Linked DNA regions of Macaca mulatta. The protein of the gene in region 4 purifies or fractionates together with the protein of the main gene of each other region. This does not show direct contact. Links are inferred from orthologs where the notes say so. Each region holds a gene or a part of one and is shown on either strand. Other genes may lie near its edges.

Region 1 (3,500 bases), on a different chromosome or scaffold from region 4:
GACTCCGCCTCAAAAAAAAAAAAAAAAAAAACATAGTAAGACCCTGTCGTCACAAAAATAAAAAATAGCCAGGTGTAGTGGCACATGTCTATATTCCCATCTACTTGGGAGGCTGAAGTGGGAGAATCGCTTGAGCCCAGGAGATCAAGGCTGTGAGCTGTGTTTTTATGATGATCAGAGAGTTGGCCTTTTATAAATTAAAGCATACTCTCTTTTCTCTAACTTGAGGGATAAAAATTTCTGGATATTTAAAATGTTTGTAGTTGGTAATTATTTATATTCAAATCTTGTACAGATGTTTGCATATTTTGTATGTATATACGCTGTAATAAATACTGAAAGATGGCACCATAATAGTTGAAAAAACTCAGTCACAAAACAGTGGACAACATAAATGTGATAACCTCTCCTTATCAAACCATTGGCTTCTGGGTGAATGTAAAGGGAGGGTCAAATGTGATCAGCAAAAGAGATCTAGGTGAGTGGAGATGGCATGAGGCAGATGGGTGCCTTGGGCACCATTGAACTTCTGGAGAGGAAGCCTTAAGTTGTACCTACTGATCTATAAATTCTGCACCAAGACTTTTGTGTGATTGGTTCAACCGGCCTCAGTAATCTTGTTTTCAAGTTCTTTAGGAGCCTCTTATTGCCTGGATCTCTAGTAAATCTATTCTTTCTCCTGATAAGGAGGAGAGAGGAGCAGTTAAGGAATGCCAAGGCTATTTTTATGTTTAAAATGAAAATACCGACCAGGTGCAGTGACTCACACTTGTAATCCCAGCACTTTGGGAGGCCAGGCCAGGCAAATTGCTTGAGCTCAGGAGTTTGAGACCAGCCTGGGCAATATGGTGAAACCCTGTCTCTATTAAAAATACAAAAATTAGCTGGGCGTGGTGGCGCATGCCTGTAATCCCAGCTACTTGGGAGGCTGAGGCACGAGAATCACTTGAACTCTGTAGGTGGAGGTTGCAGTGAGCTGAGAACGTGCCACTGCACTCCACCCTGGACGACAGAGGGAGGTTCTGCGGGAAAACAAAAAATAAAAAAATAAAATGAAAATACCTGTGAGTCTCTAGAACCTGAAAACCTGAAAGTCTTCTTTACGACTTTTAAGTCGTGTGTGTAAAGTACAGAGAGTGGTGCCTAGCACAGTGAGGTGGCTGTTGCTCTTCTGAGTCCCTTCATGCCCCTTGCAGCTAGTGGGCTATCAGTGCCATCCCTGTTTCATGGTGTCAGACCCCACCCCCTTGTTGTCTTCCTTTACTCTGGTGTGGGAGTGGGGTGGAAGGCAGCAGCTGGGCCCCTCACACATGGTGCCATCTCTGCAGGTAAATGCTATCTGCTATGGGGCCAAGATCATGCTTCCAGGTGTTCTTCGATATGAGGATGGCATTGAGGTCAATCAGGAGATTGTGGTTATCACCACCAAAGGAGAAGCAATCTGCATGGGTAAGAGGGGATGTTTATTTTTTAAATTGTAAATGTTTGTGGTTACATAGTAGGTGTATATATTTATGGGGTTCATGAGATGTTTTGACACAGGCATGCAATACATAATAATCACATCGTGGAGAATGGGGCGTCCATCTTAAGCATTTCTCCTTTGTGTTACTAACAATCCTATTTTACTGTTAGTTATTTATCTATCACCTTAGTTATTTTAAAATATACACTTAAGCTATTGATTATAGTCACCCTGTGACTATAATCTATCAAATAGTAGGCTATCAAATAGTAGGTCTTACTCGTCTTGTTCATTCATTTGATTTTTTTGTTTTTGTTGTTGGTGTTTTGTTTTTGTTTTTGCTTTTTAAGAAGACAAGAGTCTTGCTCTTTCGCCCAGACTGGAGTGCAGTGACGTGACTTTGGCTCGCTGCAACCTCTGCTTCCCAGGTTCAAGCAATTCTCGTGACTCAGCCTTCCGAGTAGCTAGGATTACAGGTGCACACCATGACACTTGGCTAATTTTTTGTATTTTTAGTAGAAATGGGGTTTTGCCATGTTGGTCAGGCTGGTCTTGAACTCCTGACCTCAGGTGATCTGCCTTTATTTTTTTTTTTTGTACCCATTAACCATCCCTACCTCCCTGCCAGCCTCCAACTACCCTCCCAGTCTCTGGTAACCATTCTTTTACTCTTCTCTGTCCATGAGTTCAATTGTTTCGATTCTTAGCTCCCACAAATAAGTGAGAACATGCAATGTTTGTCATTCTATGCCTGACTGATTACACTTAACATGATCTTCAGTTCCATCCATGTTGTTGGAAATGACAGGATCTCTTTTTTTTTTTAAGGCTGAATAGTATTCCATCGTGTATATGTACCACATTTTCTTTATCCATTTATCTGTTGATGGGCACCTCGGTTGCTTCCAAATCTTGGCTATTGTGATCTCTTTGATAACACTAATTTCCTTTATTTGGGGTATATACCCAGCAGTGGGATTGCTGGATCCTATGGTAGCTCAGTTTAGTTTTTCGAGGAACCTCCTAACTGTTCTCCATAGTGGTTGTATCAATTTACCTTCCCACCAACAATGTACAAAGGTTCCCTTTTCTCCACATCCTTTCCAGCATTTGTCATTGTCTGTCTTTTGGATATAAACCATTTTAACTGGAGTGAAATGATATTTCATTGTAGTTTTGATTTGCATTTCTCTGGTGATCAGCGTTGAGCACCTTTTCATATGCCTGTTTGCCATTTATTTATCTTCTTTTGAGAAGTGTCTATTCAAATATTTTGCCTGTTTTTTGATTGGATTATTAGATTTTTTTCCTATAGCGCCGAGTTCGTTATATATTCTGGTTTTAAATCCCTTGTCAGATGGGTAGTTTGCGGATATTTTGTCCCGTTCTTATGCATATGGATATCTAGTTTTCCCAGCACCATTTATTGAAGAGACTGGTTTTTACCCAGTGTATGTTGTTGGTACCTTTGTCAAAAATGAGTTCAATGTGGCTGTGTGGATTTGTTTCTGGGTTCCCTATTCTGTTCCATTGGTTTATGTGCCTGTTTTTATGCCAGTACCATACTATTGTGGTTACTGTAGCTCTATAGTATAATGTGAAGTGAGGTAATGTGATTCCTCTAGGTTTGTTCTTTTTGCTTAGGATCACTTTGGCTAGTTTGAGTCTTTTGTGGTTCCATGTAAAGTACCAGTGTTTTTTAACTTGTGAAAGCTTAGCTACTGTTGGATTGTCTCTTAAGACTTTAAATGCTCTGCACCCTCTTAGCGAATGAACCTTAGAGCTATTCATTTAATGGGTCCAATATGTACCAGAAGTAAGCATGTCATCAGGATTCCTTAGCTCTGTGAGCAGGCAGGCCAGCCATGGCCTATGGACAGCAGCAGAAAAGGAATCCTTAAAACTTCAAAGGTTCTGTGGCCGCAAAGGGAGTGTGCATGCCATTCCTATAGATGTCTTGAGCTGCAAGCCTGTTATGTGTATTGTTAGGTGCTTTGGTTAGGTGTTTTTTAACTTGAGAAGTTTAACATCATTT
Region 2 (3,979 bases), on a different chromosome or scaffold from region 4:
GGAGGCACTGGAGGATTGAGCTAGATGGGCAGAAGAGAGCGATGAGCGTTTTGAGTTTTTTCACTTTCAGGCTTAACGCCTCACTGCTAGCCCAAGCCGCCCGTAATAAATCACATTTAAAAAGGAGCTTCCGGGCCGGGCGCGGTGGCTCACGCCTGTGATCCCAGCACTTTGGGAGGCCGAGGCGGGCGGATCATGAGGTTAGGAGATCGAAACCATCCTGGCTAAGACGGCGAAACCCTGTCTCTACTAAAAATACAAAAAATAAACCGGGCGTGGTGGCGGGCGCCTGTAGTCCCAGCTACTCAGGAGGCTGAGGCAGGAGAATGGCGTGAACCCGGGAGGCGGAGCTTGCAGTGAGCCGAGGTCGCGCCACTGCACTCAAGCTTGGGCGACAGAGCGAAACTCCGTCTCAAACAAAACAAAACAAAACAAAACAAAACGGAGCTTCTGGCCGGGCGCGTGGCTGGAACGGTAGGCGAGCGGGCAGCTCGCCTCTAATCCCAGCACCTTGGGAGGCCGAGGCGGGCGGATCACCTGAGATCGAGACCAGCCTGGCAAACGTGGTGAAACCCCGTCTCTACTAAAAATACAAAAATTAGCCGGGCGTGGTGGCGCGCGCCTGTAATCCCAGCTATTTGGGAGGCCGAGGCAGGAGAATCGCTTGAACCCGGGAGACGGAGGTTGCAGTGAGCCGAGATCGCTCCACTGCACTCCAGCCTGGGCAACAGAACGAGACTCCATTTCAAAAAATAATAAACAAATAAAAATAAAAATTGCTTCGTGTTTTGGTCTTTATAAAGGCAAATCAATTGAGCATCCCAATGTCGCGGATTCACAGAACGAGCACTTTTTATTAATAAGTATACTTGGCTTTGTTTTCAGGTGTCGTTATTTGTGCAACGACATTGAAAAACAAGCAGAAATAAAACATTAACGGGACGGATGCGACAGCAGATTGCGGGAGCTGTCCTCTCAATCAGCCACCGGCAGCGGCGGCCCACAATTTGCGCGTGTGCAACCCAACTCCCGCCCAAGCTTGCCCTACAATTTGCGCAGGCGCAGATCCTAACTTTGGCGTCCCTGTGGGCGGCCTCTTGTGTGAGACGCACAGTATTCTGGGAACGTCGGAGACGGAAGTTACTTGGTCTTTAGCTCCCGACGCTGGTGGCTTCTGCGCGCTTTTTGTCTTTGATTTCGAGTTAGGAGCTCGGGAACCGTTTGGCAATATGTACGACGCGGATGAGGGTAGGTGAAACACATGCCACGGCGGTCCAGCAGGGAAGCTTGGGGAACTGATTGGATTGATGATTGGGGCCTTCCCTCCCGCCGGCCGGACAGTCCCTAGCCTTGTTCCCACACCTTTCAGGCCGGGAACGAAACTGGGGTAGGGAGAGGCAGAGGGTGCAGGGAACACAGCGTTAATGTTCCCGGTTAGGTTCACTGCTGCTCTGCACTTTCTCGTTCCCTTAGATCTGATCCTCGCTTCCTGTAGTGAAGTAGCGTGCAGAACCGTAAGATAAATTCCGTGGTTTTGAATTTGAAGCAAAGAGCACCCTTTAAAATTTTTCCTTAAAGCCACAGTCGACTTACTGAATAGCTGAAGTGTTGAGTGTCAGCCTGTGTCAGGCAGTGTGGAAGGCCCTGGAAATATATCGGGACAGAGAATATCGGGGGGGAGGGTGGGAGGACTCGGTTTAGTCTGACATTTCTTCATGCTGTTTGTAAGTCAAAGTAAATTGTCTTAAAGGATGGCGTTTAAATTTCCTCTTCTCACAGTGTCACAGTTCTCACAATGTCACAGTTCTCAGATGATATGTATTCTGCTACACTGGACCAATGTATAATATCTGTTTCTTTGCGCATATGGAATTCTTAGTAGTGGCCGAGCGCGATGGCTCCCACCAGCACTTTGGGAGGCCGAGACGTGCAGATCGTTTGAGGCCAGCCTGACCAACATGGGGGAAATCCCGCATCTACTAAAAATACAAAAATTAGCCGAGTGTGATGGCGCGCGCCTGTAATCCCAGTTATTCGGGAGGCTGAGGCCACATCGCTTGAGCCCAGGAGGCAGAGGTTGCAGTGAGCTGAGATTGCGCCTCTGCACCACAGCCTGAATGACAGAGTAAGACTCTTGTCTTGAAAAAAAAAAAAAAAAAAAAAAAAAAAACAGAATTCTTAGTTGAATCTAGTGTATTTTCATAGCTGCCTTTTCTATTCTCCATATCTACTAATGCAAATCTTATTTTCTTCTAGCTCTCAATTCCTTGGCCACCCCTTACATCTCCTCTCTTTATTCCCTCAGCTACTTCTGATAAATGAGATGGAAAAAATTGAAGCAAAAGCTTAAACTTTTTAAAAAATTTTTTTTGAGAGATAGGGTCTGGCCATGTTGCTCAGGCTGTTCTCAAACTCCTGAGCTCAAGCCATCTGCCTGTCTCAACCTCCCAAAGTGCTGGGATTACAGGCGTAAGCCACTGTGCCCAGCCAAAAACTTAAACTTTTAAAGCTGTTTAAACTTCTGTCTCATTTATATCTTGTGTTCTAGAAATTTATTAGCATCATTATAGTACTTGTTCTTTTTAACTGTTATCTCAGTAGAAGAAAAATTCGAAAAAAAGATTTTTTAAAGCATAATTTTTGGCTAGGTAATACATTCTCAGCTCACAAGCCAGAAAGTTTAAAAACGTTAAAGTGGGGTGGCTGGTACAGTGTCTCACGCATGTTATCCCTGCATTTTGGGAGCTTGAGGTGGGTGGATCGCTTGAGCTCAGCAGTTCAAGACCAGCCTGGGCAACAGGGGAGACCCCCTCTCTATAAGAAATGGAAACATTAGCTGGGTGTGGTGGTGCTCACCTATAGTCCCAGCTACTTGGGGAGCTGAGGCAGGAGGATCGCTTGAGCCTTGGAAGTTGACACTGCTGTGAGCCAAGAACAAAGTGAGACCCTGTCTCAAAAAAAAAAAAAATTAAAGTGTCAGGTCTCCTTCTTACCCACCATCTGCCCAGTTTGAACTCTCCACAGTGGGTAACTACTGTTACAATAGATTTTAATCACTCCGCAGTTTCTTTTTTTTTTTTTTTTTTTTTGACAGTCTTGCTCTGTTGCCCAGGCTTGAGTGCAGTGGTGCAATCTTGGCTCACTGTAACCTCCGTCTCCCAGGTTCAAGCAGTTCTCCTGCCTCAGCCTCCCTAGTAGCTGGGATTACAGGCGTGCACCAACATGCCCAGCTAATATTAGTATTTTTAGTAGAGACAGGGTTTCTCCACGTTGGCCAGGCTGATCTCAAGCTCCTGACCTCAGGTGATTCACCTGCCTCAGCCTCCCAAAGTGCTGGGACTGCAGGTGTGAGCTACTGCGCCCAGCCTCCACAGTTTCTTTATGCATATTTGAGCAAATATAAATGGGATTTTTCTCCTTTTTTAAAGACAGAAAGTAATATTCACACTTTTCTCCACTTTTAGATTTTGCTTAATGTATCTAGATTTTTGTATCAGTACACAGAAAGCATCGCCCCCGCCCCTTCGCCCACTCCGCCAGTTACTTAGTTTGTGTGGATGTACCATAACTTAAGTAGTCTCTTGATGGATATTTGATTTATTTCTAGTCATTTTCGGGTTCAGTGCTGTAAATGAATAATCTTGTACATATAATTTGCCCAAGTATGTCTGTGGGATGCATTTCTACATATAAAATTGTCACGTCAAATGATACACACCTTTAACATTTTGCTAGATGATGCCAAGTGACCACCATAGTGGTGATTTGTACTAGTTTTGCAATGTATAATGATCCCGTGCAAAAAAGAGTTTATCATAGTTGCTTTAGCAGTGAGCCTACATTTTATTCTTGCCCATGTCCTCTGAAATGTTTATTAGATAATGTCCTCATCAGTTTTCAGCCACTATGTGAAAATGTCAGATTTCTGTCATCCACATGGAAACAAGTTAAACTTTTCATTTTTTCCTTTTTCTTCTAG
Region 3 (4,298 bases), on a different chromosome or scaffold from region 4:
GAGAGAAGGAGAGAAGGAGAGAAGGAAAGGAAGGAAGGAAGGGAGGAAGGGAGGAAGGGAGGGAGGGAGGGAAAGACAACCGATATTAAAGGAAAAAAATGTAAAGGAAAAATTACCACATTTACATTTGTCTTTTCAGCATGGATGACACTCTCACGTTGAAAAATGCATGTCACAAGAATTGTGTGTGACATATCCCCAAATTTCCACATTCAAAAGTCAGGGATAATACGGTTTTCATCCGGGAATCAGTAACTCATGGGAAAAGCTCAAGATGTCATTCATTTTGGAGACCAGATGTAAAGGAGTAGTATGGGTACTTTGTCTCAAGGTGGAAAGTGCCTTTCTTATGTTTTTTTCCTTCCCATGGGACTTGTTGCATACTCTTAAAATGGCGGCAGGGCAGACACGTTTGCTTGCACAGCTGTGAGCTGCATGCATAAAAGCAGGGATGGTTTTGGCCTAAGGCAGGGATGGTTTTGGTCTTATCCGTTATGGCATCCCCTTGTGGCACATGTTAGGTGTTCAAAAAATATTGGTGGAATGGATGTGATTACACTTCATGCCACAGTATATAAATATGATTTTAACTGGACAGGGAACTGCACAAGTTTCCCATATTGATCCTTTTTGCGATCTTAATTATGGTACTCTGAGCTGGGATACTGCCTAGACTGCCTGGGCTACAACAAACTCTAAAGGGCTTTTACTTTCACGCCCACAGTGGTTGAGGGTTCGCGTTCTGTGAATGCTGGAACCTCACGCGAGTAGCTGAGTAGCGAGGATGGTCACTCCCGGATAAATGAATACAGGATTCTCGCGGCTGGGAGCGGTCGCCCGGCGAGGTCGGTCATCCTGCCTGTCCGGTAACACCACGAAACACCTGCCACTGATACCTCCCCACCAGCTCCCGAGGGTTCGCGCCGGCATCCCGAGCCGCACCCCCTGTTCCGCCGCAGCCGGATTCCCTCCAGGGCGGGTTACGCCCCTAGGCGCAAAACAGAACCACTTCGCATCAAGAAGACAAAGTATAACCAGTCACACCAAAAAGAGGCAGCATTATTTAGACAGCCGGCTACTCCCCCAGAGACTCCACCCAGTCCCCTGGGCCCGGCGTTCAGCGCGCCGACGGTGCCCGGCTCCAGGAGCTCCAGCTCCCTCCACGTGTCCTGTCTTCCCAGCAGCCTCCTCTGCCGCCTCTGGAGGAAAATCTCCTGACAACTCGCGGTCTGCGGACTACGACTCCCAGGAGGCGCCGCGCCGCGGCTCTCCCCGCCCCCTTTCCGGGACGCGCAGGCGCCCTGGGCTCCGTCTACCAGCCTGGCTGGCGACGCCTGGATGCGGTTTCTTCCGGGATTTGTAGTTTTTCTGGAGTTACCCGGGCCGTCTGTCAAAGGGACAAAAACTACAAGTCTCGGCTGCCCCAGCGCTGCGAGCTTGGTCACGTGGCGGGGGCCGACCGGGCGTGCGTGCCGCCGTTGATCCGGTGCTGCAGTGAGGAGGTGGTTCTTGCCCGTGTTGTGTGTGTGTGTGAGTGAGAGAGCGAGTGAGTGAGTGAGTGAGTGTGTGTGTGGGGGGACTCGGCTTGTTGTTGTCGGTGACTTCCCCCTCCCCTTCACCCCTTCCCCTCCCCGCCGCCGCTGCAGTGGCCGCTCCCTGGGCTGTAGGAAATGAGCGATAACGATGACATCGAGGTGGAGAGCGACGTGAGTCCTGGGGCTTCTTCCTTCCCGTGCGGGTTGTCAGGCGGGGACAGCGGCCGGGGCTCTCAGCGGGGCGACGGCGGGAGGGGGCCGGGCCGCCGCCGCCTCCTTCCCCTTCCCCTTTCCCTCGGGGCCAGGACTGCCTCCGTCGCGTTCCCGGCTCGCTCCCCTCCGGCTCCTGGCCGGAGCGGCCTCCTGGGACTGGAGGTGGGGGGAAGACACGCGGCTTCTGGGACTCCCACCTTCTCCCGTGGGGGAGGGTGCTGCGGCCTCCCGCTCCCACCTTCCCGGGCTCAGGATCCGGGGGACAAGGATGGGGGGCGCCCGGGATCCCATTGTCCGGATCCAGGGGAAGGGGACGGCGTTCAGGACCTGCCCCTTCGGAACGCGATCCTCTCCTCCCGTGACCCGCGGATCCTGGGGGGCGAGGAAGGGCGGAGAGGGGTTGGGGGTGCCTAGATGCCCGAGCTGGGTCTGCAGGGAGGAGACAGTGCTCGAGACCCCTCTGGCCCGGGTCGGATCCCGGAAGGAGGGGCGGCGCTCGGGACCCCTCTATCCCGCTACCGGATCCCGCCGAGGGTGGAAGGGTGGGGGCAAGGGGTGGGGAGGGAGGAAGGGGTGTCGGGCTGACTCCCCACCCTCCGCTTCCTCTGCCGCCGGCATTTTCTTTCTTATTATTGAATGTTAAGTGTAAAAATAACTTCTATATTTTCTATTTTTTTTTCTCTCCTATTCCAGGAAGAGCAACCGAGGTTTCAATCTGCGGTACGTCTCCTACTCTCCATTTCATTTTTATTTCCGTTCAGTTCTATTCCTTTTTGGGGTCAGAGAGAAAAAGAGATCGTACTGTTACTTTTAATATTGTAGTAAATCACTAATGTTAACCACTAAGGTGAGGTGGGGCCTGGTTCTGGAGGGTGGGGGAGTTGCAAATCCTATCATTCTAGATTCTCAGGTGATAAGTTCAGTAAGAGGAGCTGTATGCAAAGAATTGAATTGTTCTGTAGTTTTCAAATAGGGGATCCAGCTGCCGCTATGTAAGTGGAAATGAGAAATGCAGCATTCTGAAGTCAGTGGTAGTATTATTTCAGGGCAAAGTGGTCAGAAGATTTATTTAGGAACAAGTAGATTTTAAACCATATCTGTATAATTATGTGAAGCTGAAGCCACATGCAATAATCGCCTTTAACCAAGTCATGTGACTGCTCTAGACCTGTAGAATCTAGCACAATGTGGTATTCTAACACAAAAATTGGAAATGTAGAGGAGCCAAACGTTGCATCATCAAAGTGTCACATAAAGTTATTATGGTCTGATTCTCTGTATTTGAAGAAGAGGTATAAAGAAAATTAAAAAATAGCTGAAGAAAAGTGGCATTGCAGGAAGAGCTTTGCTGAAAGGTGATGGATGAGACCATATAATGTTATCAATAATTTCTTAGGGTTTTGATATTAATGTTCCCAGTAGATGGTTCTGTGGATTTAGATATGCACTAATTTCATGTCTTTGGAGTCTGAGACAGTAATATGGGTTTTTCATGAATAGATTAGAGGGGAAAAAAAGAAAACATATAGAATAAATCAGAATCAGAGGGGAAGAGAAATAAGTATATCAGAGTTCTAATATTTGAAATTGGGAACAGTAGGAAGTGTATAGAATGGGGGTAAAAAATTTGAATGCCCATGAGGGCCATAAATAATAAAGAAAGAAGAGGTGAGGACTTGGGTACTGGAGAGCAATGCCTCTCCTAAAAAGTCAGCCACTACTGAATTCCAGTGGTTTGTTATGTAGGAGTGAAGGGTCAGTATTGCCAGATCTTCCTATTTTTTATTTTATTTTATTTTATTTATTTATTTTTGAGATAGAGTCTCGCTCTGTCACCAGGCTGGAGTGCAATGGTGCTGTCTCGGCTCACTGCAACCTCCGCCTCCTGGGTTCAAGCGATTCTTCTGCCTCAGCCTCCTGAGTAGCTGGGACTACAGGCGCACACCCCCACATCCAGCTAATTTTTGTATTTTTAGTAGAGACGGGGTTTCACCTTGTTGGCCAGGCTGGTCTTGATCTCTTGACCTCGTGATCCGCCCACCTCGGCCTCCCAAAGTGCTGGAATTACAGGCGTGAGCCACCGCGCGCCCAGCTGATCTTCCTATTTTTTAAGAAAGATTAGAAATCCAAAGCGTTATGTTATTTTTCTGATTTTTAAAATGATGTGTGGAACAACTGTTTGGGCTTGTTAGAATTTGCAGGATGTCACTTTGATACCTCTGGTATAAGAACCTAATAACCACAGGATAAAGGCAAGCCATCTCAGTTGTACCTGCTCTTCATTAGAGCAAGCAAAGATTATGCAGGTTGTCTAAGCAAATAGGCATTAAGAAAACTTATTTATTGAGAGCTCGTATTTTCTTAAAATCCGGGGATGTAGTTGTTCCAGAAATCTTACAAATTATCCCTGGGTAATAGTCATTAAAGATAATTTATTTTGTTTTATTTATCCTTGAAGTATTCTCATATACTTATGCATATATTTGAAAATTGAATTTGTTTTTTTCGTTTACTTTTATCCTTCATGTTTGGGGCCTAGTCTGTTGAAAA
Region 4 (2,803 bases):
CAGAGGCCGGGCGCGGTGGCTGAAGCCTGTAATCCCAGCACTTTGGGAGGCCGAGATGGGCGGATCACGAGGTCGGGAGATCGAGACCATCCTGGCTAATACGGTGAAACCCCGTCTCTACTAAAAAAATACAAAAACTAGCCGGGCGAGGTGGTGGGCGCCTGTAGTCCCAGCTACTCGGGAGGCTGAGGCAGGAGAATGGCGTGAACCCGGGAGGCGGAGCTTGCAGTGAGCTGAGATCCGGCCACTGCACTCCAGCCTGGGCGACAGAGCGAGACTCCGTCTCAAAAAAAAAAAAAAAAAAAAAAAATAACAGAAACACACAAATGAAAACACACATAGACCCAGATTATATATATATTGATTGACGAAAATACTGTGAGTAAAGGCTCAAGAGAGCCTAACCCTGTATTCCACTAGGAGCAGTGGCTCAGGATCGGCTAATTGGAGTGTTCACGGTGACTCTCTAGAACCTCACTGCGGTGAATAAGGGGAACTGACTGTATACCCTGGTACCAGCCCTGGGCGGGCCCCGCTGCAACAGGGAACAAGACAGGTTCTGTCCCCTCCTTTGTGAAGCTTCATGTCGAGCACGGGAGTGGGACCTTGATCCAGTAATCCTCGAGGCAGAGAGCTAGCTTAAAGCAGCCCAGCTCTGCGGAAAGGTGTCCTTGGGGGACTGACAGTTGTGGAAGGCTGCGTCATCAGGGGGTGATGTCATCATGTGACAGGAGACACGAGCTAAAGGTTAAGTGGTGTTGGGCCCACTGAGTGGGTGGTGATGGGAGGTGGGAGTGTTTCCAGCAAAGGGAATGAAAAGGGAACATCCCCCTGACAGCCCCCTCTTTCTGCCTCTTCCTCAGAATCCGGGGCACCAGCTACCAGAGCCCCCACGGCATCCCCATAGACCTGCTGGACCGGCTGCTTATCGTCTCCACCACCCCCTACAGCGAGAAAGACACGAAGCAGATCCTCCGCATCCGGTGCGGGCAGGACCAGACCGTGCGCCTGGGAGGCGGGGCTGGGGTCTACCCTGTTTGACAAATGCCGACACTGAGGTCTGGCGGACTGGCATGGTGGCTGGGCCTGCAAGAGAGAGGGCTGATCTGGCACCCAGACAGTGGCCGCCGATCCGGGAGCAGGAGCCATGGTGGGAAAGGGAGGCGAGGTACCCGTGACCGGTGTGGGGGCCAGCGCCCTGGGCGTGGTCAGGAGGCCTAGGTTTTAGATCCAGCCCAGCCCCTGTCTCCGTGGCTCTTCTAGCCTCAGCATTCTATGGTTCTAAGATGCAGGCGCCACATATTCCCAGTGGGGAAGGACCAGAGGGTTGCTGTGGCCACTTCTGCTGCAGTCAGAGGCTGGGCCCTGGCTGAGCCACCCCCGTCCCCCACTGCTTGCAGGTGCGAGGAGGAAGATGTGGAGATGAGTGAGGACGCCTACACGGTGCTGACCCGCATCGGGCTGGAGACGTCACTGCGCTACGCCATCCAGCTCATCACGGCTGCAAGCCTGGTGTGCCGGAAACGCAAGGTCAGCCTGCCGAATTAGCCAGCAGGGCCAGATGGCGGCAGTGAGTGACGCACTACTTCAGGGGCTGCCAGGGTTCCAATTTCAACCTAGGATGTACATTTTCAGAGGCAGGGAATTTTCATCCCTCAAGTTGTCTTCTGTATCTCCCCGCCTGGCCTACAGTAGGTGCTCAGTAAATCTCTGTTGACTGTAAGTAGATGCTGTTAGGTCCACCTTACAGATAAAGAAACTGAGGAATGAAGAGGCTGGGCCCACAACCAGGAGATGGCCAGGCAGGTTTTGAACCCAGGCGATCTGGCCAGAATGCCCTCCCCTCACATGCCACCCTCTGCTGCCTAGAGCATGGAGGTGACATATGCTGGGGTCTGTGCCGTGAGCCTCACGGAGAGGGGCCCAACTCAGGACCCGCCCTCCCCCTCCAGGGTACAGAAGTGCAGGTGGATGACATCAAGCGGGTCTACTCACTCTTCCTGGACGAGTCCCGCTCCACGCAGTACATGAAGGAGTACCAGGACGCCTTCCTCTTCAATGAACTCAGTAAGAATCCCTACCCTGCACCTGCACTGCCAGAGCCAACCTCGGGGAGGAAGAGGGAGCTCGGCCTAGAAGGCTCAGGCCCTGCCCCCTGGGCCACACTGACCATGTGGCCTTCCTTCTCCCCACAGAAGGTGAGACCATGGACACCTCCTGAGCTGGATGTCATCCCCTGTCCCCACCCTGTTTTCTACCAGAGTTCTGACACTGTGACTTTGTATAAAATGGTTTGAAGCTGCACCCACTCTGTGTGTGGTTGCCCTGAGCCCACAGAAAGACACCTCCAGAGTGCGCACTGAGAAGCCTTTATTGCGGGAGGAACGGGGTGTCTGCTGGCTCCAGGAGTCAGGATGGACTTGGAGGGCTGGGGGGAGGGTCTTTAGAGGAAGAGGAGGCCTGGGAGTTGGGGGTGGTCACAAGTCAAAGGGTGGTCCTTGGGACCCCCGCAGTCAGAGGTGCTGCGGTGGCAGGGTCCACAACGACAGCTGAGAGCCACAGGGAAGGAGACCACGGGGTCCACGCCAGGCAGGCAGCCAGGGAGCTGGATGGAGTCGAAGCGCACCTCGCGGTAGGTGCACACCACCTGGGGCAGGGGCAGCAGGGCCGCCTGCAGCACCCGCATCTGGAGGATGTGTGGATAGGGGAGTGAGCATGTGCCTGGGGCCAGCGCCTCCGCTGACCTCCCAAGCTGCCTCCAAAGGTCCCAGACTCAGGAGTCCAGGAAGCCCTCTGTTCCCGC
Region 5 (2,979 bases), on a different chromosome or scaffold from region 4:
CTGCTGCCCTACTTCTACCTCCTCTACTTCACCGCGCTGCTGGTGCACCGTGAGGCCCGGGATGAGCGGCAGTGCCTGCAGAAGTATGGCCTGGCATGGCAGGAGTACTGCCGGCGTGTGCCTTACCGCATCGTGCCCTACATCTACTGAAGCGGCTCCACCACCCCAGGTGGGGGCATATGCCCACTCATCCACCAGCACACCCAAGACCAGGAGCCTGGACACACTTGGGACTCAAGGGCTTGTACCCCACCCAGCCCTGAGGATGAACAGCCTCAGAGAAGAGGTGGTTTAGAGCAAGGAAAAAAATGAAACCAGTGACCAAAATCGGAGATGCTCTTCCTCCTTTGGATAAACATTGGGAACCATTGGTGCACTTCTCTCCCCTAGGACTGGCTGGGTCAGCACTGATCAGGGAGAAGCTGAGCAGTGGCTTGTGGGCCCAGGACTCTGGGGGCCTGGTAGGACAATAGCTATCCTTCAGAAACAGGCAACAGGGCTGACCACTCACAGCTTTATTAATGACCAGGGTCCCCAGTTCAGCCAGGGAGCTCCTCAATGAGAGTCCTTGGGGCAGGTGGCACGGGGCCTCCCCAAAGCCGCTCCAGCTCCCCAGTGAGGGCGGCCACCTCCTCGGCTGCCACAGCATGGGCTTGGTGAGCCCTGGCGCAATCTAGAGCCAGGGGTGTGAGGGCCGCCTCATTTTCATTGGTCCAGGCCAGGAGGAATTGGCACTTTTTCCGGGCCCGGTAAAGATGATCTCGCTCTTCTCTAAGCACAGCCTGTTTCCGGGCACGGCCCAGGGTCTTTGCCAGGTCTCCCAGTGCTGCCAGCGTGTAGCCTTTCTGGTTGGTCGGGCCCTCACCCAGCAGGATGCGAGCGACCTCGTGCATAGCCCCTCGTGTGCCCAGGGGCCCAGGCGGGTGTTCGCCTGCTTCCAGCACGTGGGCTGCGGCCTGCAGGGCTTCTTCCGCAGAGGCGAAGACTTGCTGGGCACCCAGGGCTCCGGAAACGCCGAGCAGTGTAGCACAGAAGTCAGAGAGCAGTGCGTCGTCACCGCCGTGATACAGGGCGAGAGTATGCGCGTAGGCGAACAGCACATTGGGCAGCTGGAAGCGCACGAGCGGCGAGACTGGGCCGCGGCTCAGGCTGACCAGCGTGGGGATGCGGGTGGGTATGGCGGGCGTGCAGGCCCCCGGGACATCTCCAAGAACCAGCTCGGCAGCCGCGAGCTCCGCGGCGAAGGCATCGTTCATAGATTCCGGCGGGGTCCTCGCAAGGGCGGGCTCCAGCCCCGCGGCATCACTGCCCGGGACATCATCCAGCTCCTCCAGAAGCCGCCACGGTCCGGCTCCGCGCTTCCACCACCACGGCCGCCATGGAGGAAGCAGCCGCCCGGCCTCACCACGGCTCAGCAGCCGCTCGAAGGCAGTTTTTTCGGCCGGCGCCAGCCGCTCCCACAGTCCCGAGAGGCCGCCGGGCGCCGGGCCGGGGCTAAGGCCTGTTTCCCCAGGCTCGTCCTCGGTATCGCGTTGCTGACGCAGCCGGCGTAGGGCGCTTGCCAGGCGGCTGGGCGAGGCGCTGCGGCCGCGGAGCTCTCCCAGCACCTGGTCACGGTAGAAGTTTTCTGCGCAGGTGCCATGCGTCCGGTAGCAGCGCAGCGAGCAATAGGGCGCATTACAGCGAGGGCAGGTGTAACGCGCGGGCTGGGCCTCCCCCGCCGGGCAGAAACCACAAGGCCCGACCGGCTCCATAGCAACCGGCACCGCGATCTACCTGCGAACGCACGCCGGCGATAGTTCCAAACTTCCGGGGCTTATTCAATTACTTCCGGCTCACCGCGGGGTCGACGACGGTCTGTCGTTTCGCAAAGCTCCCGAGGATTCTGAGCAATTTCCGCCCACGCCGGAAAGCCGAGCCCCACCCCTTTCCCTAGTAGGGTGAGAGCAGGCCCAGACGCCGGGCGTCAGGTACGAGCCCCGCCCTGTGCGATGACGCAAGGAGCGGAAAAATGGGTCTGGCGAGCGCTCCGCCGGTGCCACCTCTCCCCCTAGCGGTCACACCAAAACGTGGCCCGATCATCTAAAGAGAAAACCCTCTCTCTTTAGCTCTATAATGCGCTGTGGCAGAAATCCACTTTACTAAACACCTACCCTGGGCCACTAATTGTGCCAAGCCTCAGAAAGGCGATGCATCCCTGCGCTGTACACAGACAAATAAAATGCACTAGAGGACACAGACGAATAAAAGGGCAGTTGGGATCGGATGCGGTGGCTCTCACGCCGATAATCCCAGCACTTTGGGAGGCCAAGGCGGGCAGATGACCTGAGGTCAGAAGTTTGACCACGGCCTGACCAACATGGAGAAACCCCATCTCTACTAATACAAAATTAGCCGGGCGTGAGGGACGGGTGCCTGTAGTCCCAGCTACTCCGGAGGCTGAGGCAGGAGAATCATTTGAACCCAGGAGGTGGAGGTTGCAGTGAGCTGAGATCGCGCCACCGCCCTCCAGCCTGGGAGCCTGGGCCACAGAGAGGAACTCCACCTCAAAAAAACAAAAAGCAGTATTTAAGAAATATTTGAGGCCGGGCGCGGTGGCTCAAGCCTGTAATCCCAGCACTTTGGGAGCCTGAGATGGGCGGATCATGAGGTCAGGAGATCGAGACCATCCTGGCTAATACGGTGAAACCCCGTCTCTACTAAAAAATACAAAAAACTAGCCGGGCGAAGTGGCGGGTGCCTGTAGTCCCAGCTACTTGGGAGGCTGAGGCAGGAGAATGGCGTGAACCCGAGAGGAGGAGCTTGCAGTGAGCTGAGATCCGGCCACTGCACTCCAGCCTGGGTGACAGAGCGAGACTCCGTCTCAAAAAAAAAAAAAAAAAAAAAAAGAAATATTTGAGCTCCTATTTTTCCTCCAAAACTGACTCTTCATTAAGTATCTTATTAAATACCACTATTCATCCATCTCATTAAGTGCAG
Region 6 (4,183 bases), on a different chromosome or scaffold from region 4:
TTCCCATTGCACCACTTACTAACTGTGAGATCCTGTGCAAGCCAAGGGAATATATAACGCCTACTTCATAGAGCTGTCAGGAGGGAAAATGAGATCATTATAAAGAGTTTGCTGCAGTGCTAGCACATAGTAAGTATTCAGTTAATGTTAGCCCGTTATTTTTTTTTTCTGAGTCCTAATGAAATTTCAACAATGTTTCCTTAGAATCATAAAACAGTTGGAGATTGAAAAGTCTTTTGAAGTTTTCTGGTTATCTCCACTGTCCTAGGATATGACTTTCATCTCCTTTCCACTGATACTTAAAACCATGGAATAAATACCGCAACTGGATTATTCTAATTAGTGGTGGAATAACAGGAAACGACATGTGTGGAAAGACCAAGGGAATATGTGGGGGAAGAGGGAGACTAGTGGGAGAGGCACGGAGAGAGTATAAGGGGCACACTCCAAGGGGAGAAAATACAGGGAAGACAAGTAGGAAAAAAAAAAAAAAACAAAACACAGAAAAGATGTCCTCAGACAAGTGTAAGGACAAGAGTGAGAAAAAGGAAAGAAGGGGAATACAGAGGGATCTTAATTTGTGAATGCAATCACCGACACGGTGTAAGAGGCAAACGTTCTGAGTTCTAATCACTGTAAAATGCATGGTTATAAAATATACTCTTAACCTCTGTGAGTCGTTTTCTTTAGAGTTTGCAGCGTGGATTAGATGAGATTAGTGGGATGGATGATCTGTTAAAGAGAAAACTCTTCAAATAAGCGGTTAAGAATGAGAGAGAAAGCTGCAGAAAAAGAGAAGTGGAAAGAGAGAGGGAGGAAAGGGAAAGTGTAAGAGGAATTGTTAATAAGGCAGGTGAGGACTAAGGGAAACCACTGTAACGGTGCTGCTGTGGCTACTGCGGTGACTACTTCAGCACATCAAACGTTGACAACTTGCCAAGTTCGTTATTAGAGTTCTACATGCACAACTTCATGCTACCCTCATAGCATCTCTATGGGGCCAGGTTCTCGTATCATCCTCGTTTCACAGAAGATATAGAGAGGTTTTGTAACTTTCCCAAGGTCTTACAGCTGGGAAGTTGTGGCCAGGAAGGGATTCAAACGCACGTCTGTCCACCTGCCAAGCCAGTGTTGTTAAAATCATCTCTAAAAACCTCGCAAAAGGCTTGGTTGCTAGTCATCCGGTCGGTCCAATGCCTGGGCCCAGGCACCACTCGCCACGTCCTTTCTCCTCCCGGCGGTTTCGAAAGTTCCACCTCTTCTCGAACGGCGTCCCGTCTCCGTGGAGATCGGCGTGGGGCGGGACTTCCTGCCCCACGCGAGAGCACTTCCGCCTCGAGCCGGAAGCTCTGTGGCTCACACCGCGGGTTCCTGCGCGTGGGGAATTGTAGAGTTTGCGTGGCGGGAACGCGGCGGCAGTGAGAGCGAGTGGCGCCGGCTGTTGCGTCCGGTGCGGCGATGCTGACCCCGGCGTTCGACCTCAGCCAGGATCCGGACTTCCTGACCATCGCCATCCGCGTGCCCTACGCCCGGGTCTCCGAGTTCGACGTCTACTTTGAGGGGTCCGACTTCAAGTTCTACGCCAAGCCCTACTTTCTCAGGCGAGTTCTGGGTGCCTGGCCGCAGGAAAGGCGCATTCGTTAGATAGCGGCTTTAGAGGGAGAATGCAAGGTCGAGAGAGCAGTTCTCGATTGCGCGAATGCCATTTCCCGACGTTTCCACAGCTTCTCTTGGTGACAGGGCAATGCCCTCCCTCTTCCAGGGGTGCGTTTTAGATGCTGCAGAAGCCCTTTTCCTTCTTAAGCTTTCTTAAATCCCACATCAAAGGATTGCGGAATCACTTGAAAAAGTGGCGTTTGGACCGTGTCACTTGCCCGTTTCTGCCCTGTCGCCCTAGTTCTCGTTCCATTTTGACTTGTTCTGTTCTTTCACTCCGCGTTCGCTCTCCCAGTCTCTCCCTCCCTACGAACGGCGCGCGCTGACATCCCCGTGACTTCCCAACCCATCGGTCCTTTTAACTTTGCTCAGGCAGCCTTCTGTTGATCCATCTCTTGTCTGTCCCCTCCCTACTTCCTGAAATTCTTACCTTTTTTGGACCTCTTGACACCATATTAGCCTAGTTCTCGTGCTTCCCTGCTGTCTGCTGCTTCTCTGTTTGGTTTTGCCCCTGATGTGTGGTTATTTCCCCCAAGTCTTCGTGAGGGGCCGTCAGTACTTGATCTGTTTAAATTATTCTCCTTGCAGAATCGTAACCTTAGTAGCAGCTAACACTGATCACCCGCAGTGTGGTGGACAAGCAGTTCCGTTAAGTGCTTTGTAATGCCGTATCTCATTTAACTTTGACAGTGTTGCTTAGGGATAAGCACTGCTATTAACCCCATTCCACAGAACCCGCTGCTACATATTCATCGTAAAGCATTGCCAATCTTTTGTCCTTCTCTTTATCCATCCTCCTAATTTTTCTCAAGTGCAGCTGCAGCCTGCTTTTCCCACCCAAGTACTTTTGTGATACAAACCTTCTCCACCAGTCAAGGTGGTTTTTTCGCTGTTCCTGAACCAGTTTTGCTCGGATTTCCCTTATACCGTGTAACGTACCTATTTGAATATATTGCAGTTTCCAGTTTCTTAATTCACTTATTTCTTTAGTTTGTTTATTGAGTTTCAGTGTTGGGATTATTGCGCTGAACAAGACAAAGTTCTGCCCTCATGTACTTTACACTGGGGAGAGGAAAACAATAAACTAGCCGTCTACCTAATTGTGGCAGGTGCTATGAGGAGAAAGAAGTGCATGATATAGAATGAAAAGGGGCCCATATTTTATAAAGTAGTCAGGAACAGCCTTTCTGGGGAGGCGATATTTAAGCCAGGATGTGAAGAATAGGAAGATTATGGTGGTAGCAAATATTTATTGAATTTTTACTCCAGATTGGTGCTTTATACGGATTATCTCATTTGTTATTAGGAGAGTATTACAATGAGGTTTTATTATTTACCCGTTGCCGTGGATGGATTATTTATGGGCACCCCCCCAACTCTTGCCCCCAAATTCATATGTTGAAGGTCTAATTCCGGTGTCACTTCTGCTTTATTGTATTCATCAAAACAGTCCCAGAGCCTGCTGAATTTTAAGAGGAGGGGACATAGACCTTCATGGTTGGGAAGAGTGCTGTGAGATGGGCATTCTTTGAAAATACAGTTTGCCCCCAGGTGTGGTGGCTCACGCCTGTAATCTCAGCACTTTGGGAGGCCAAGGTGGGCAGATCACTTGAGGTCAGGAGTTTGAGACCAGCCTGACCAACATGGTGAAACCCCATCTCTACTAAAAATATAAAAAAATTAGCTGGGCTCGGTGGCACGCACTTGTAGTCCTAGCTACTTGGGAAGCTGAGGTGAGAGAATCATCTGAACCTGGAAGGCGAAGATTGCAGTGAGTCAAGATTGTGCTATCGCACTCCGGCCTGAGTAACAGAGCAAGACTATGTCTTAAAAAAAAAAAAATACAGTTTGCTGTGGCATACCAAGGACGAATAAAACCTGGTCCCTCTCCTTGAAGAACGGAGAGTGTAGCTGGGGAGGCACCCTGTAAGCAAATATGATTTCCTATGCAGTAAGAATTGAACTCTAGGCTTTTAGAGTTTAGGGGAAGGGAGCTGGTAATAATAGCTATTTTCTGAATGCTCACCTATTGTGCCAACCACTGAGCTCTTTGCATTTTCATTTCATGCTCATAGTAACTCATGGATAGTTACTGTTATTTCCCTCCTTTACAGAAGAGAGATTTATGATTCTTGAAGAATGATTAACTTGTACAAAGAAGGTTGTTACACATCTAGTAAATGGCAGATCTGGGAGTTAATTCAGATTCTGACACTAAAGTTAGTGTTTGTAACCATTATAACAAACTCATCCATAAACTGACTCCTTATTCTGGCTTAGAGGGATTTTCATTCTGAAAATGTATTGAAGCTTGAGGAAACCTTGGGACTAAAGGCTCTGGGCTGTTTGGGACTGTCAGGTGTTTTTGTTTTTAATTGTATTTAATGGGAAAGAAGGGGGAGGGCCATGGGAGGAAAGGAAGCTCAAATTTCAAGTTTGGAATGATACGGAGTGGGCCTGAGATGCCCTTCTGATGAGTTTAAATTATCTAGGCAATATCAGGCAGCCATAGACGTTTTTTAAAATA
Region 7 (3,927 bases), on a different chromosome or scaffold from region 4:
CGCGCGGGACCCGCCCCGGGCTCTTCGGCCTCCCCCTTGCCGTCGCTGACCTCCTCTGGCCGGGCTCCGGCCCCGGTATCGCTGCCTGCGCGCCAACCATAGGTGCCCGGGCCCCCGCGCCTTCGCGCTGCCACTGCTGCGCTCCCTGCCCCCGAGGCGCCCCCTCCCCGCCGCCCCGCTCCTCCTGCAGGCGCTCAAAGTGGCCTGGGACTTGCAGTCGCCTCCCGGCCCCTCCAAGCCCGCTGGCAGTTGTCCTCGCCCGCTGGCCGTTGCCCCCGCCCGCTGGCCGTTGCCCCCGCGGCGCCCCGGAGGCCAGGTCCTGCCTCCCGCACCTGCCAAGTCCCCGCACTGCAGGAGTCTCGCTCTGTCGCCCAGGCTGGAATGTAGTGGAGCCATCTCGGCTCACTGCAACCTCCGCCTCCCGGGTTCAAGCAATTCTCCTGCCTCAGCCTCCCGAGTACTTGGATTACAGGCACCTGCCACCTCTCCCGGCTACTTTTTGTATTTTTAATAGAGACGGGGTTTCGCCGTGTTGGTCAGGCTGGTCTCGAGCTCCTGACCTCAAGTGATCTGCTTGCCTCGGTCTCCTAAAGTGCTGGGATTACAGGCGTGAGCCACCGCGTCCGGTCCAAAAGCCATTTTTGGATGAGAAAGACTCAGCTGCGTCCTGAAGAGCAAGTGGAATGGGGAAGAGGACGGTATGAATGTGAGTCCAAGAGCAAGGCAGTCGATAGACCTTCTTACTGCGTATGGTTTTGCACTTTTTTCTTCAAAGAATGTCACCGTCTGAAGAATGCTATCGGAAGACACACACATATACACACACAAGCACACACACACAGCACGCAGCCGGTTCTCTACAGGATTAGAAAAAAGTTGCGCAAATCAATCTGCGCAGTTAAAAACAAATACGAAATGAGCGAGAAAGCACTTAGCAGTCAAATCTCGCCACCACATAAACAGGTTAAGTTTGGAAGCACAGCGGACACTCCCTAACAGTTTGTGGGGCTTAGCATCTCCGACTTCCGGCGTTCACCGTTGCTAGGGTGACCAGAGGCGCGTCCTAATGCTCCGCCCAACAAACCATAGAGTACCGGAAAAGGCTCGAGCAGAGGGGTCGGAAAGGGAAAACAACGGCGGCTGCGGTGTGGTTGGTGGTGAAATGACGACCTTGGTGCTGGATAACGGAGCTTACAACGCCAAAATCGGTTACAGCCATGAAAATGTGTCGTAAGTGCTTTCTTTCTCCGAGGGACAAGATATATATGCCTAGTGGTTTCATGTGCTACGTTTCATCTCCGGACATCAATGAACTGCAGACGCCCCCGCGCGGCCCTGACTTAGCCAGAGGGATTCCCTGGTTGGAGCTGGGTGGGTGGTTGTGATGCTTTGAATTGAAATTGATTTTGGTTTTAGTTTTGGGCTGCGAGGCCCCGGAAGTGGGATGTCTGTTTTATTTCTTAAGAGGAAATAGCCAAGGAAAATAGACTTTTAGAGATGCATTCCTAACAGAAGGGTCCGTAAAATTCATCAGCCTTTGGAAACTGGGCAGCGTGTTTGGGTGTATGTGGATTTTCCTGGGTACAAGATTATAGGTTTCATTAGATTCTCAAAGGGTTCTATGACCCCCTAAAAGTCTAAAAATCACGGTTTTAGGATCTAGAGGCTTTGAAGACTGGCCTACTGGCCGACCTAGTTGGTAAGGTCAGTTAAACAGAAGTACTATTAATACAATGGCATTCATAACATGTATAGTCATAAAATATATGTTTGAATAAATAAGTAAACTTAAAGTCACGCCTTCCCTTTATCAAATTAACAGAGCATTAAAAAAAATTCTTATCTTCCTTCCTCCTTTCCTTCTTTTTCATTTATTTTGAAAAAGAGGGAAATCAAACTGAGTAGGAATGTAAATTGTTACAGCCGTTCTGGAAAACGTTTTGGCAATGTGTATCGTTATCATTGTCGCAGAGGCTGGAGTGCAGTGGTGCGATCTCAGCTCACTGCAGCCTGAATTCAAGTGATCTTCCCGCCTCAGCCTCCGGAGTAGCTGGGATTATAGGCGTGCGCCACCACGCCCGGCAAATTTTTTGTATTTTTAGTAGAGACGGGGTTTCACGGTGTTGGCCAGGCTGGTGTTCAGTCCCTGGCCTCAAGCAATCTACCTGCGTTGGCCTCCCAAAGTGCTGATATTACGGGTGTGAGCCACCACACCTAGCTGACACAGCAATTCTTTTTTTTTTTTTTTTTTTTATTTTGGAGAGGGAGTCTCGCTCTGTCGTCCAGGCTGGAGTGCAGTGGCACCATCTCGGCTTGCTGCAACATCTGCCTCCCGGGTTCAAGCCATTCTCATGCCTCAGCCTCCCAAGTAGCTGGGACTACAGGCGCGCGCCACCGTGCCCAGCTAAGTTTTGTATTTTTAGTAGAGATGGGGGTTTCACCATATTGACCAGGCTGGTCTGAATTCCTGACCTCGTGATCTGCCTGTGTCGGCCTCCTAAAGTGCTGGGATTACAGGCGTGAGCCACCACGCCTGGCCACGACACAGTAATTCTATTATTACTTAGAGAATTAATTAGAAGTGCTTTGTATTATTCATAGACATCGTATACAGGCAGCCAAAAAATGGGAAGCAAGCTAAATAATCAGGAATAGCATATTGGCTAAATACATCAAAATACAACCATGAGATTGTTAACAAATTCAGCTTCTTAAAATTATGTCTTCAAAGAATATTTAAACATGTAGAGAAAATGTTGACAGTATTATAAGTGAAATAAGCAGGTATAAAACATTTTTTACAGTATTATCCCAGTGTCGTGTTGTATGTGTATAATTGATAATGGCTCTAGTTTGGCTTCCAAACCAGATTGTAAGCTCATGGCAAACAGCAAGAGGCCGAGGGGGGTGGATCACGAGGTCAGGAGATGGAGACCATCCTGGCTAACACGATGAAACCCTGTCTCTACTAAAAATACAAAAATTAGCCAGGTGTGGTGGCGGGCGCCTGTAGTCCCAGCTACTTGGGAGGCCGAGGCAGGAGAATGGCCTGAGCCCAGAAGGCGGAGCTTGTAGTGAGCTGAGATTGGGCCACTGCACTCCAGCCTGGGGCGACAGAGAGAGACTACGTCTCAAAAAAAAAAAAAAAAAAAAACGTAGTTGCTATTTCTGTACCCCGTAGCAGCAGCAGTCTCCAATCTTTTTTGCACCAGGGACTGGTTTCATGGAAGACAATTTTAACATGTGGTTGGGTGTATGGGTTTGGGTGACGGTTTTGAAATGAAACTGTTCTCAGGTATTAGATTCCCACAAAGAAAAGTGTGCAAACTAGATCCCTTGCATGCACAGTTCAAAATAGGGTTCGTCCTCCTGTAAGAATCTAACGCTATGGATGATCTGACAGGAGATGCAATTTAGATGTTAATGCTCATGGCCCCACCCGCTTTCCCCACCCTGGTGCTCACCTCTTGCTATGAAGGCTTGATTCCCAACAGACCACAGACAGGTAACGGACCACAAGCCCTGCAGCTGGGGACCCCTGCCCTATAGCATCTTGCTGATTGAAGGTCTTTGGCTTCATGGAAACTTAATTTTTTCTTTTTCTTTTTTTTTTTTTTTTTTTTCTTTTGAAACAGTCTTGCTCTGTTGCCCAGGCTGGAGTGCAGTGGCGTGATCTCTGCTCACTGCAATCTCCGCCTCCTGGGTTCAAGCAGTTCTCCTGCCTCAGCCTCCCCAGTAACTGGGATTACAGGCACGCACCACTATGCCCAGCTAATTTTTGTATTTTTTAGTAGAGATGGGGTTTCACCATGTTGGCCAGGCTGGTCTTGAACTCCTGATCTCATGATCTGCCCGCCTCAGCCTTCCAAAGTGCTGGGATCACATTCGTGAGCCACCGTGCCCAGCTAGAACCTTAATTTTTATGGC

What was found.
Region 1: the proteins of RUVBL2 (region 4) and DKC1 purify together in Homo sapiens (affinity purification with mass spectrometry; 5 studies listed by BioGRID and IntAct, counting the BioPlex papers as one, with this or other methods). This does not show direct contact. The link is inferred for Macaca mulatta from reciprocal best matches to the Homo sapiens genes RUVBL2 and DKC1.
Region 2: the proteins of RUVBL2 (region 4) and POLR2B purify together in Homo sapiens (affinity purification with mass spectrometry; 3 studies listed by BioGRID and IntAct, with this or other methods). This does not show direct contact. The link is inferred for Macaca mulatta from reciprocal best matches to the Homo sapiens genes RUVBL2 and POLR2B.
Region 3: the proteins of RUVBL2 (region 4) and MAX purify together in Homo sapiens (affinity purification with mass spectrometry; 3 studies listed by BioGRID and IntAct, with this or other methods). This does not show direct contact. The link is inferred for Macaca mulatta from reciprocal best matches to the Homo sapiens genes RUVBL2 and MAX.
Region 5: the proteins of RUVBL2 (region 4) and ZNHIT2 purify together in Homo sapiens (affinity purification with mass spectrometry; 5 studies listed by BioGRID and IntAct, counting the BioPlex papers as one, with this or other methods). This does not show direct contact. The link is inferred for Macaca mulatta from reciprocal best matches to the Homo sapiens genes RUVBL2 and ZNHIT2.
Region 6: the proteins of RUVBL2 (region 4) and SHQ1 purify together in Homo sapiens (affinity purification with mass spectrometry; 4 studies listed by BioGRID and IntAct, with this or other methods). This does not show direct contact. The link is inferred for Macaca mulatta from reciprocal best matches to the Homo sapiens genes RUVBL2 and SHQ1.
Region 7: the proteins of RUVBL2 (region 4) and ACTR6 purify together in Homo sapiens (co-immunoprecipitation; 7 studies listed by BioGRID and IntAct, counting the BioPlex papers as one, with this or other methods). This does not show direct contact. The link is inferred for Macaca mulatta from reciprocal best matches to the Homo sapiens genes RUVBL2 and ACTR6.

The regions. Positions count from the first base shown.
Region 1 is NC_133426.1:161,062,818-161,066,317, forward strand, and holds part of DKC1 (H/ACA ribonucleoprotein complex subunit DKC1), read left to right. Parts: intron 1-1,328; coding exon 1,329-1,449; intron 1,450-3,500.
Region 2 is NC_133410.1:76,509,928-76,513,906, reverse strand, and holds the start of POLR2B (DNA-directed RNA polymerase II subunit RPB2), read left to right. Parts: upstream 1-1,179; 5' UTR 1,180-1,229; coding exon 1,230-1,248; intron 1,249-3,979. UniProt on the Homo sapiens protein: Catalytic core component of RNA polymerase II (Pol II), a DNA-dependent RNA polymerase which synthesizes mRNA precursors and many functional non-coding RNAs using the four ribonucleoside triphosphates as substrates.
Region 3 is NC_133412.1:138,199,677-138,203,974, reverse strand, and holds the start of MAX (protein max), read left to right. Parts: upstream 1-1,498; 5' UTR 1,499-1,670; coding exon 1,671-1,706; coding exon of another isoform or gene 1,707-1,910; intron 1,911-2,441; coding exon of another isoform or gene 2,442-2,468; intron 2,469-4,298. UniProt on the Homo sapiens protein: Transcription regulator. Forms a sequence-specific DNA-binding protein complex with MYC or MAD which recognizes the core sequence 5'-CAC[GA]TG-3'. The MYC:MAX complex is a transcriptional activator, whereas the MAD:MAX complex is a repressor.
Region 4 is NC_133424.1:61,470,578-61,473,380, forward strand, and holds the end of RUVBL2 (ruvB-like 2), read left to right. Parts: intron 1-863; coding exon 864-983; coding exon of another isoform or gene 984-1,002; intron 1,003-1,374; coding exon of another isoform or gene 1,375-1,400; coding exon 1,401-1,530; intron 1,531-1,952; coding exon 1,953-2,067; intron 2,068-2,195; coding exon 2,196-2,221; 3' UTR 2,222-2,303; downstream 2,304-2,803. Other genes in the region: LHB (lutropin subunit beta), read right to left, coding at 2,444-2,686. UniProt on the Homo sapiens protein: Possesses single-stranded DNA-stimulated ATPase and ATP-dependent DNA helicase (5' to 3') activity; hexamerization is thought to be critical for ATP hydrolysis and adjacent subunits in the ring-like structure contribute to the ATPase activity.
Region 5 is NC_133419.1:9,260,525-9,263,503, reverse strand, and holds ZNHIT2 (zinc finger HIT domain-containing protein 2), read right to left. Parts: upstream 1,755-2,979; coding exon 540-1,754; 3' UTR 501-539; downstream 1-500. Other genes in the region: delta(14)-sterol reductase TM7SF2, read left to right, coding at 1-150. UniProt on the Homo sapiens protein: May act as a bridging factor mediating the interaction between the R2TP/Prefoldin-like (R2TP/PFDL) complex and U5 small nuclear ribonucleoprotein (U5 snRNP).
Region 6 is NC_133407.1:136,344,080-136,348,262, reverse strand, and holds the start of SHQ1 (protein SHQ1 homolog), read left to right. Parts: upstream 1-1,383; 5' UTR 1,384-1,458; coding exon 1,459-1,601; intron 1,602-4,183. UniProt on the Homo sapiens protein: Required for the quantitative accumulation of H/ACA ribonucleoproteins (RNPs), including telomerase, probably through the stabilization of DKC1, from the time of its synthesis until its association with NOP10, NHP2, and NAF1 at the nascent H/ACA RNA.
Region 7 is NC_133416.1:107,551,678-107,555,604, forward strand, and holds the start of ACTR6 (actin-related protein 6), read left to right. Parts: upstream 1-1,127; 5' UTR 1,128-1,162; coding exon 1,163-1,230; intron 1,231-3,927. UniProt on the Homo sapiens protein: Required for formation and/or maintenance of proper nucleolar structure and function. Plays a dual role in the regulation of ribosomal DNA (rDNA) transcription.